Linked DNA regions of Nothobranchius furzeri. The protein of the gene in region 2 purifies or fractionates together with the protein of the main gene of each other region. This does not show direct contact. Links are inferred from orthologs where the notes say so. Each region holds a gene or a part of one and is shown on either strand. Other genes may lie near its edges. The genes, in order: golm1 and slc7a14a.

Region 1 (4,388 bases), on a different chromosome or scaffold from region 2:
GATGCCCAACCCTAACAGTGATCAAAAAGCTTCCATGAAAATACAAACAACTTTTTGACACCAAATGGTGTTAAAGTTCACCTTCTCTTGGCTGCAGGTGACCTGTGCTCCTTCTAGTTGCCTCTTGTACATGATTTCTATGCGAGTGATCTGCTCCTTCTGCTTCTGGATCTCCTCCTGAAACTCCGCCTTCTTGGTCTCTGCAGCTCCTCGCTCAGCTGCTCCACGTCTCACCTGGCCTTCCAGCTCATACAGCTTGGTCTGTGGGACACATAGGAGCTCCTATTAGATCAAAACGGTGGGAATTCATACAGAAATAAAATGTAAACATGGGAGGATTGATTTACGAGTATCTAATAAATGCAGCTTTTGCATCTTTAGTAAAATATGTTGTACTTAATTCTGTGTGGTCATTTTGACAGTAGTCACATTTTATCTGCATGTGTTCAGATTCAGATTGCCGTAGTAGCAGCATGTGTGGAATATTAACATTATCCACTCAGTTTGTTCCCTACTGCAGAAATATGAATAAAGTCTTGTTTATTTAGAGGAAAGGGTTTTAGACTTTTTGCAGACATTTGCTTTATGCTATCATTGTGCTTCCATATGTAATGTTTGCACTAGAGTCATCAACCTAGTTTTTATTACAAATAACAAATGATATGTTCAAAAGTTGGGCTGCACGGTGGCGCAGTGGTTAGAACTGTTGCCTTGCTTCCCAGCCTGGGATCTTTCTGCATAGAGTTTGCATGTTCTCCCTGTGCATGCGTGGGTTCTCTCCGGGTACTCCGGCTTCCTCCCACAGTCCAAAACCATGACTGTTAGGTTGATTGGTCTGTCCAAATTGTCCTTAGGTGTGTGTGTGTTTGAGATCGTTTGTCCTGTGTGTCTCTGTGTTGCCCTGCGATGGACTGGCTCTCTGTTCAGGGTGTACCCCGCCTGATTGCCCATTGATCGATGGAGGTAGGCACCAGCGCCCCCTGAGTGAGCTAAATTAAGATGGCGACTGCTCTGTAGTGGTCCAATCACAGTGCACTATTGGTTTGGTGGGCCAATCACTGCCTTCTGTTGATGGGCGGGATGTTATTGAACAAACAAATATGGCAAAAGTTTGTTTATAACACCCTTGAAATTTAATTTTGACATCTGTAGAGGTGGATACAACATGTTTGTTATCAAATAGCATGCAGAGACACGTTTGAAAGTCAACCGTAGATCCCGCCCCACGTCTAAGAGCCGTCAATGGTCTGTGGCCAGACTTTATATTCACATATATAGGATGGCTTGCCAGGCTAAGAAACATGAGGATTTTAAATTAATTAAGACCAAGATGTTTGTTTATTCAATATATAATTTAAAAGTTAATCATAATTTCAGACATTGTATTCTTGGGAATGACACTTGACCCTCCTTGCCTGCTGACGGTGATCAGAGGGAACCAGTGTAGCAGCCTAATGAGGCCTAATGGGTGTAACATGAAGCCCTTTTAGTTCCTCTGAAGTCTACAGAAATCCTTAGACTTAAAAAAGTGTGATACAAAATATCAGTTATTATATATATATATAAATCATACATTTATAATAACTATATTATAAAAAAATAAGCCAAACCTACTTGTAGCTCCAGGTTTCGAGAGCTGGACACCCAATAGTTAAATCCCAGAACCAAGATACAAGCAACCAGAGCTGCAATCATCAAAGGGGGGGATCGTCCTCCACGACGGCCGTTCCCCAACCCACCCATAGTGATCTAGAAACTGGACACACACACATACACAAAACACGGTCATAATCAGATCATATGATTGTTACCGTAAAGGCTTTTTAAACTGGTACTTTGCATCTAACAAGAGACAAATATTTTTGTTAAATAATCATTTTAAGACACAAAAAGCAGTTTCAGAACTTCTAATTAGAAGTATGTGTCTCAGATTAAACCCGATTAACTTCTTGGTGTCAAAAGAGAATGAGAGATAATATTTCTGCACTTGTCTTTGTCATAAAAGGAATTCAACTCTGTAGCTAGAAGCCCCAGTTTGATAAGCAGGACATTTTGCAGGACATTTTATAGACCTATTAATTTACTGATTTAATAAAACTTTTAAAAACCCACTTCCAGTGTAAATAATATTCACAAAACCAAATTAGCATTAGTGGGGATTTACAAGAGGACAAAGTAATGAAAATTGAGAAATACTTCCTGTTAAATATTGATTATGACTACAGTTAAAGTACAAACAGCTGGAGGTAAAATCCCCATTCAAATCTAAATATAAAGAAAACACCACATAAAGATCCTGCTGATTAGTCAACGTGGAATCCAAATGCTTTTCTGATAAAATAGCAAAGACAAACCAGAACAAATATAACTAACAAAATAACAATCAATGAGAATTGTGAAAAACTATCAAATCACAGGAAAATTAAGCTAGTTTGCCATAAACAATACATAAACAGACACGTTTTTTAAGGATCAAAACAAACACTGTTCCAACACAATTAGTATCGATTACATGTACAACTAAATTCGAAACCCTTAATTATATCATTGATTAAACACTGACGGCCAAACAAACAAAAAATAAACCCTTAATGTGAATCGTCTCTCTCGTAACCACCGTAGACGCTAATGCTAACTTCCGTTAGCAACAAAGCGTGAGTTGACATCAGACAAGCAGCGTAATCATCCACCTATCAGATATGACAGAACCAAAACAAAGCAAATATTTAGCCAGGTATGTAGAGCGAAGTTCTGTGATGAGTACCAAAAAAATTCTGTTCCTCACGGAAATAAAAACGCTTCAGCGCCCTTGCAAACTAGCTCCTGCCCATTACTGCTACACCAACAGCCGTGGCTGAACTGTCGGTGGGTCCGCACCATTTACAGACACCGGTTCACGTAGCGGTGTGGGGACTAGGTGGGTGTCTGGTTTTAAATAAAACATTAGCCCCGCTCAGAGGTTCCAGAGGGAATAACAGCACTTTTTTCCCTTGTACGAGCTGCTGTGTGGAAGTCCATAGTACACTGATAAAAAAAATCTATGTAATTTCATAATCATGACTTTAAAGTGTCTCATAATAGTGAGAGTATCTCATAATAATGAGACACTACCTCATTAAAATGAGATAGTGTCACATAATTATGACTTAGCTATATCTTAATTATGAGATTCGAGATACTATCTCACCCTTTTTGGAGTCCCTGGGACGAGTGCTAGATAGTGCTCCACCAGGGGACTCCATTGTCCTGCTGGGGGACTTCAGTGATCACGTGGGCAATGACAGCATGACCTGGAGGGGTGTGATTGGGAGGAAAAGGCCCACCTGATCTGAACTCGATTGGTGTTTCGTTATTGGACTTCTGTGCAAGCCGCAGTTTGGCCATAACGAACACCATGTTCGAACATAAGGATGCCCATCGTACACTTGGTACCAGGGCAGCCTAGGTCGCAGGTCGATGATAGACTTTGTAGTTGTATCATCTGACCTGCGGCCGTATGTTTTGGACACCCGAGGGAAGAGAGGAGCGGTGCTGTCAACTGATCACCACCTGGTGGTGAGTTGGATCAGATGGCAGGAGAAGATGCCGCGTAGACCTGGCAGACCCAAACGCATAGTGAGGGTCTGTTGGGAACGTCTGGCAGAAGAACCTGTCAAGACGGTCTTAAACTCCCACCTCCGGCAGAGCTTTGACCGCGTCCCGAGAGAAGTGGGGGACATTGACTCCGAGTGGGCCTTGTTCCACTCTGCGATTGTTGAGGCGGCTGTTGCTAGCTGTGGTCACAAGGTGGCCGGTGCCAGTCGTGGTGGCAACCCCCATACCTGCTGGTGGACACCAGAGGTTCGGGGAGCCGTCAGGCTGAAGAAGGAGGCCTACAGGGCGTGGCTTGTCTGTGGGTCTCCGGAGGCAGCAGACAGGTACCAGATAGCCAAGCGGGGTGCAGCAGTGGCAGTTGCCGAAACAAAATCTCGGGCGTGGGAGGAGTTTGGTGAGACCATGAAGAAAGACTATCGATCGGCTCCAAAGAGGTTCTGGCAAACTGTCCGGCGCCTTAGGAGAGGGAGGCAGCAACTCGCTCACACTGTTTACACTGGGGATGGGGAGCTGCTGACATCAACTGGGGCTATAGTCGGATGGTGGAAGGAATACTTTGAGGAGCTCCTCAATCCCACCTATGCGCATTCCGAGGAGGAACCAGAGCCGGGAGACCTGGGGATGGACTGTCCAATCTCGGGGGCAGAAGTTGCTGAGGTAGTCAAACAACTACGCAGCGGCGGAGCACCGGGGGCGGATGAGATTCGTCCTGGGTATCTCAAGGCTATGGATGTTGTAGGGCTGCCGTGGTTGACACGTCTCTGCAACATTGCATGGTCATCGGGGACAGTTCC
Region 2 (3,826 bases):
AAGTAAGTGGCCAGAATATCCACTCTGGTACCAGTGGAGGTTTAAAGCAGTCATCTGTGACATGAAGGTCACATTCTCAACTGGAGAATGGAAGCAGCCGGCCTATGCCCGCAACTAGTAGAAAGTGAGCGCTAGCTTCCTACTTCTGGGGGAGAGGGGTTTCAGATCTGAAAATAGCTTAAGGGGGAGGAGCAGGGCTTGATGATGCACTTAGTTTCCATCAAGGCTTCTGCAGGATTTTCTAAATAAAATTCAAAAGTTGCAGCTGCGACAGGAAAATGCATGAATGTAGGCCAAAACAAGTTTAGGGGTATTTTTCATAAGGAAATAAATGTACCACATGGTAAAAAGGCTCTAAAAAGTGGATTTTCCATGATGTGGCCCCTTTAAAGTTTCCAGTAAAGACATGGATGAGTGAATTTGGTGTGGAGGAACTTGACATTTTTGCCCTTAACGTGTCAAAACACCAGAGCTTTATTACAAAAATGCATTTAATGGTAAAAAATAATAATAATAATAATAATAACAATTCCCATTAAACAGTTTCAGCTCCTCTGAGATTAGTTAACAGGAATTTGTTCATGGGAATTTTGGACCAGAACATACACTGGTGTAGCATGCCCTTTTAATCATCCCCAAAAGACCACCGGTAAGAGTTCGAGTTCAGAACAGAAAGAATTTCAACCCAGGATCAGAAAGATGATCTCACATCGTTCATTCAAGTTACAATGCAACGTCACTAAAAAAGAACATGAGACATTTAATATGCAGAATTATTTCAGTCATGTTATTCATTAAATAAAGGCAGTTGGAAGATCTGAACAGGAGAAGGAATTTTTTACAAAATGCCAACAGGTCAAATCAAAAAGGTTAAGGAAGCCTTGGAGTGAGGGAGAAGCTTGATGGTGGAGGAACAGATGTGGCTGAGAGCAGGGGGGTAGCAAGCTTCTCAAAAGTGTGGCAGATGTTGAGATTTTTCACACACACACACACACACACACACACACACACGTGCGTGTGCGTGCGCACGCTCGCACGTGCGCACATGTAGTTACACGACCTATGTGCATTATCCTGAAATCATTAGAAATACTACCTTAAACGTATTTGGAATGCAATTTTAAAATTAGATTATTTTTTCTCATTCATTTGGCTTTTTTTTTTTTGTTTTTGTTTTTTACTTGTTTTGTATGAAGCTGAAGTTGGTTCCCCGTTTTAGTTTTCAATTCAGAAAGGTCAATTCTCAATCATTTTTTCCACCCCAGTATCTCTAATCTACTGTAATTATGAAATGCAAAATGTTTTATTTCATAGGTGATCAGTCGGAACTCTTGAAATAAATGTTCTTACTCATATTCAACAGTCAGTAATCCATCTTAGACTGAGAAAACTTTGCAGTTGTTCATTCATTAGCTGATTAGAGTGTGACACTTTGAGCCTAGAACATAGAACTTTTTCACATTGTCAGACATTTTAAATGTGAGATTTTCATAAGCTTTAAGCCATAATCATCACAATTATGTCAAATAAAGGCTGGGATATCTGGATTTGCATGGAATGAGTCTATCTTATTGCTTAGTTTCACCTTTTAAGTTCAAATACTGTAATAAATCAACTTTTGCACCATATTTAAACAGTTTCACCTGTAGATGCAAAATTAAAAGTGCTGAGATCTGCTTTCTTTGGGCTTTCACAAAACAAATAAGCATTAAAGTTCAGAAAAACTCTAGTCCAGGTTAGAAGAGTCTAAGTTTTGTAGTTTTAGTATGAGATCAGAGTAAAACTGGTTGGAATAGCTCTTCCTGGCTCTGAAACTAAAACTGGACCAATTTCAGCTTTGTGGTACATCCTGATAACTTTTTGTGATAATTTAATCTTTTGTTCTTCAGTAAGAGAAAGATAATCACAACCTTTGAGATGATGCATATTTAGGGGTAGTGCTCGTAACTTTCACTAAATAATTTGGCTACCCGAGTAACCTACCAAGAGTTGATCTGCTCAAAGATGTTTGAGCTGAAGGAGGCTGTAGTTCTCCTGTGGTTAGAACAGAACGCGCTCAGAGCAAGCTTGTGATGAGCCCATGTGATCTCACTGCTCGGGCAGTGCAGAGCAGCAGGAGAAACGCATGTTAATGATTGACTGGGCTTGAATATTTCACATAACACCGGTGCACAGAAGTGCAGGTTTCAATGGTCAACAGGAGAGAGAGGCGGGAAGGGAAAACACATCAAGAGAAACACGGAAGGACCGAAGTGATAGCAAAGTATTTTGGCTAAACTGCGGGAAAGTGTAAGTGTTTAACCTCCTCACTAGAAAAACATCCCCCACGGGTGTGACGCCCATGGCTGAGTGAAGTTTGAAAGTCGATGCAATTTTTGCCTGAGGCAATGCCTAAAAATCCCTGATTTCTGATTGGTTCCTGTTGTGCAGCACCCACAGCAACAACCAGTCAGTGTACCCTGAAAGCTGTGTGACCTGAATACATGAATATTGTGGATAAATTCAACCTTTTTACATTTACAAACAGTTAAGATGTCTCAAAAATTCAAACACTGTTATCATTTTGTCACGTAGATCAGGTGAAGTTGAAACAAACGATCGATCAAATTAGCTGAGAAACCTGTGTGGGGCCTGCGTGATAGTCTAAAATACTCCAGCAGAAGGATGATTCAGCTACTTGATTAATGTCAGTGGGAGTGAGGAAACTCACAGAAACATAGGCAGTGAGGCAGGTGATGAGTGAGGCGGTGATGGCATAGGGAATGGAGGTGTTGGGACTCTTGGCTTCTTCTCCTGTTGTAGCAATGATGTCAAACCCGATGAAGGCATAGAAACAAGTAGCAGCACCCTGCATCACCTGCAACACACATTCAGTAAAATAATTAATGGTTTGTATAAATAATACAGAAGGATTTTGTGTGTGTGCGTGTGTGCGTGTGTGCGTGTGCGCGTGTGCGTGTGTGTGTGTGTGTGTGTGTGTGTGTGTGGTGTTTGCACACATACTCCTGACCACCCAAAGGGTAAAAATCTTCCCTCATCCCAGTTCTCTCCATTGACAAAGAAGAGTCCAGCGATCATCATGAACACCCACACAATGAGGTTGATGATGTTCAGAGCGTTGTTGAAGCCAATGGAGTTTTTTACTCCTAAAGCCACAATCACTGTCACCAACAAGGCTATTAGCAGGGCCAGTAGGTCAGGATATGACTGTTCTCCTTTACCTAAAGGAGATACACACACAGTTTAGAAATGAAGTCATTTCAATAAACAAGGGAATTCAACAATATAGTCATATTTACTCCGTTGACCCATGAAATGCCCAAACCTGACAGAAAATGTTAAAGTAAACTAGTTTACCATGGGAAACATCATAAATATTTAAGTTACAATAAGAAACAAATTTTATTTAAAAATCTCCTAATTTTCCCGTATTTGTCAAAAAATATAGTGCAGAAAAACTATTTACCGGTAATTGCATTTTTCCCAGGAATGTTTTCTACTTTAGAAAAAGGTATCTTATAAAACTGGAAGATAACATGAGGTTATTATGTAGATGGACACAGGAATTCTCCAACAGGGCCATACAAAGACCTGCCGTGTCTCCACCATAAATGTGTTTAAATGCTGTTAATAGGAACGGCTTTAATTGTAGCCCAACCATAGAACAAATTTTATAATAAATTCATGATGTTTAGCATCACTAAAAATTATTACTACTTCACATGTAACTTTACAAAAGCACCAGCAGTCGAGCTGTGTGTTTGGAAACCAATGAGATGTACTTTCAGCTAAATTCCACCCTTCCCTTGGGTGTGGAGGAAATAAT

Evidence for each region.
Region 1: the proteins of slc7a14a (region 2) and golm1 purify together in Homo sapiens (co-immunoprecipitation; 3 studies listed by BioGRID and IntAct, with this or other methods). This does not show direct contact. The link is inferred for Nothobranchius furzeri from reciprocal best matches to the Homo sapiens genes SLC7A14 and GOLM1.

Annotation. Positions count from the first base shown.
Region 1 is NC_091757.1:48,315,751-48,320,138, reverse strand, and holds the start of golm1 (Golgi membrane protein 1), read right to left. Parts: upstream 2,905-4,388; 5' UTR 2,765-2,904; intron 2,691-2,764; exon of another isoform or gene 2,587-2,690; intron 1,757-2,586; 5' UTR 1,744-1,756; coding exon 1,615-1,743; intron 262-1,614; coding exon 82-261; intron 1-81.
Region 2 is NC_091758.1:22,803,732-22,807,557, reverse strand, and holds part of slc7a14a (probable cationic amino acid transporter), read right to left. Parts: intron 3,222-3,826; coding exon 3,004-3,221; intron 2,858-3,003; coding exon 2,711-2,857; intron 1-2,710. UniProt on the Homo sapiens protein: Imports 4-aminobutanoate (GABA) into lysosomes. May act as a GABA sensor that regulates mTORC2-dependent INS signaling and gluconeogenesis. The transport mechanism and substrate selectivity remain to be elucidated.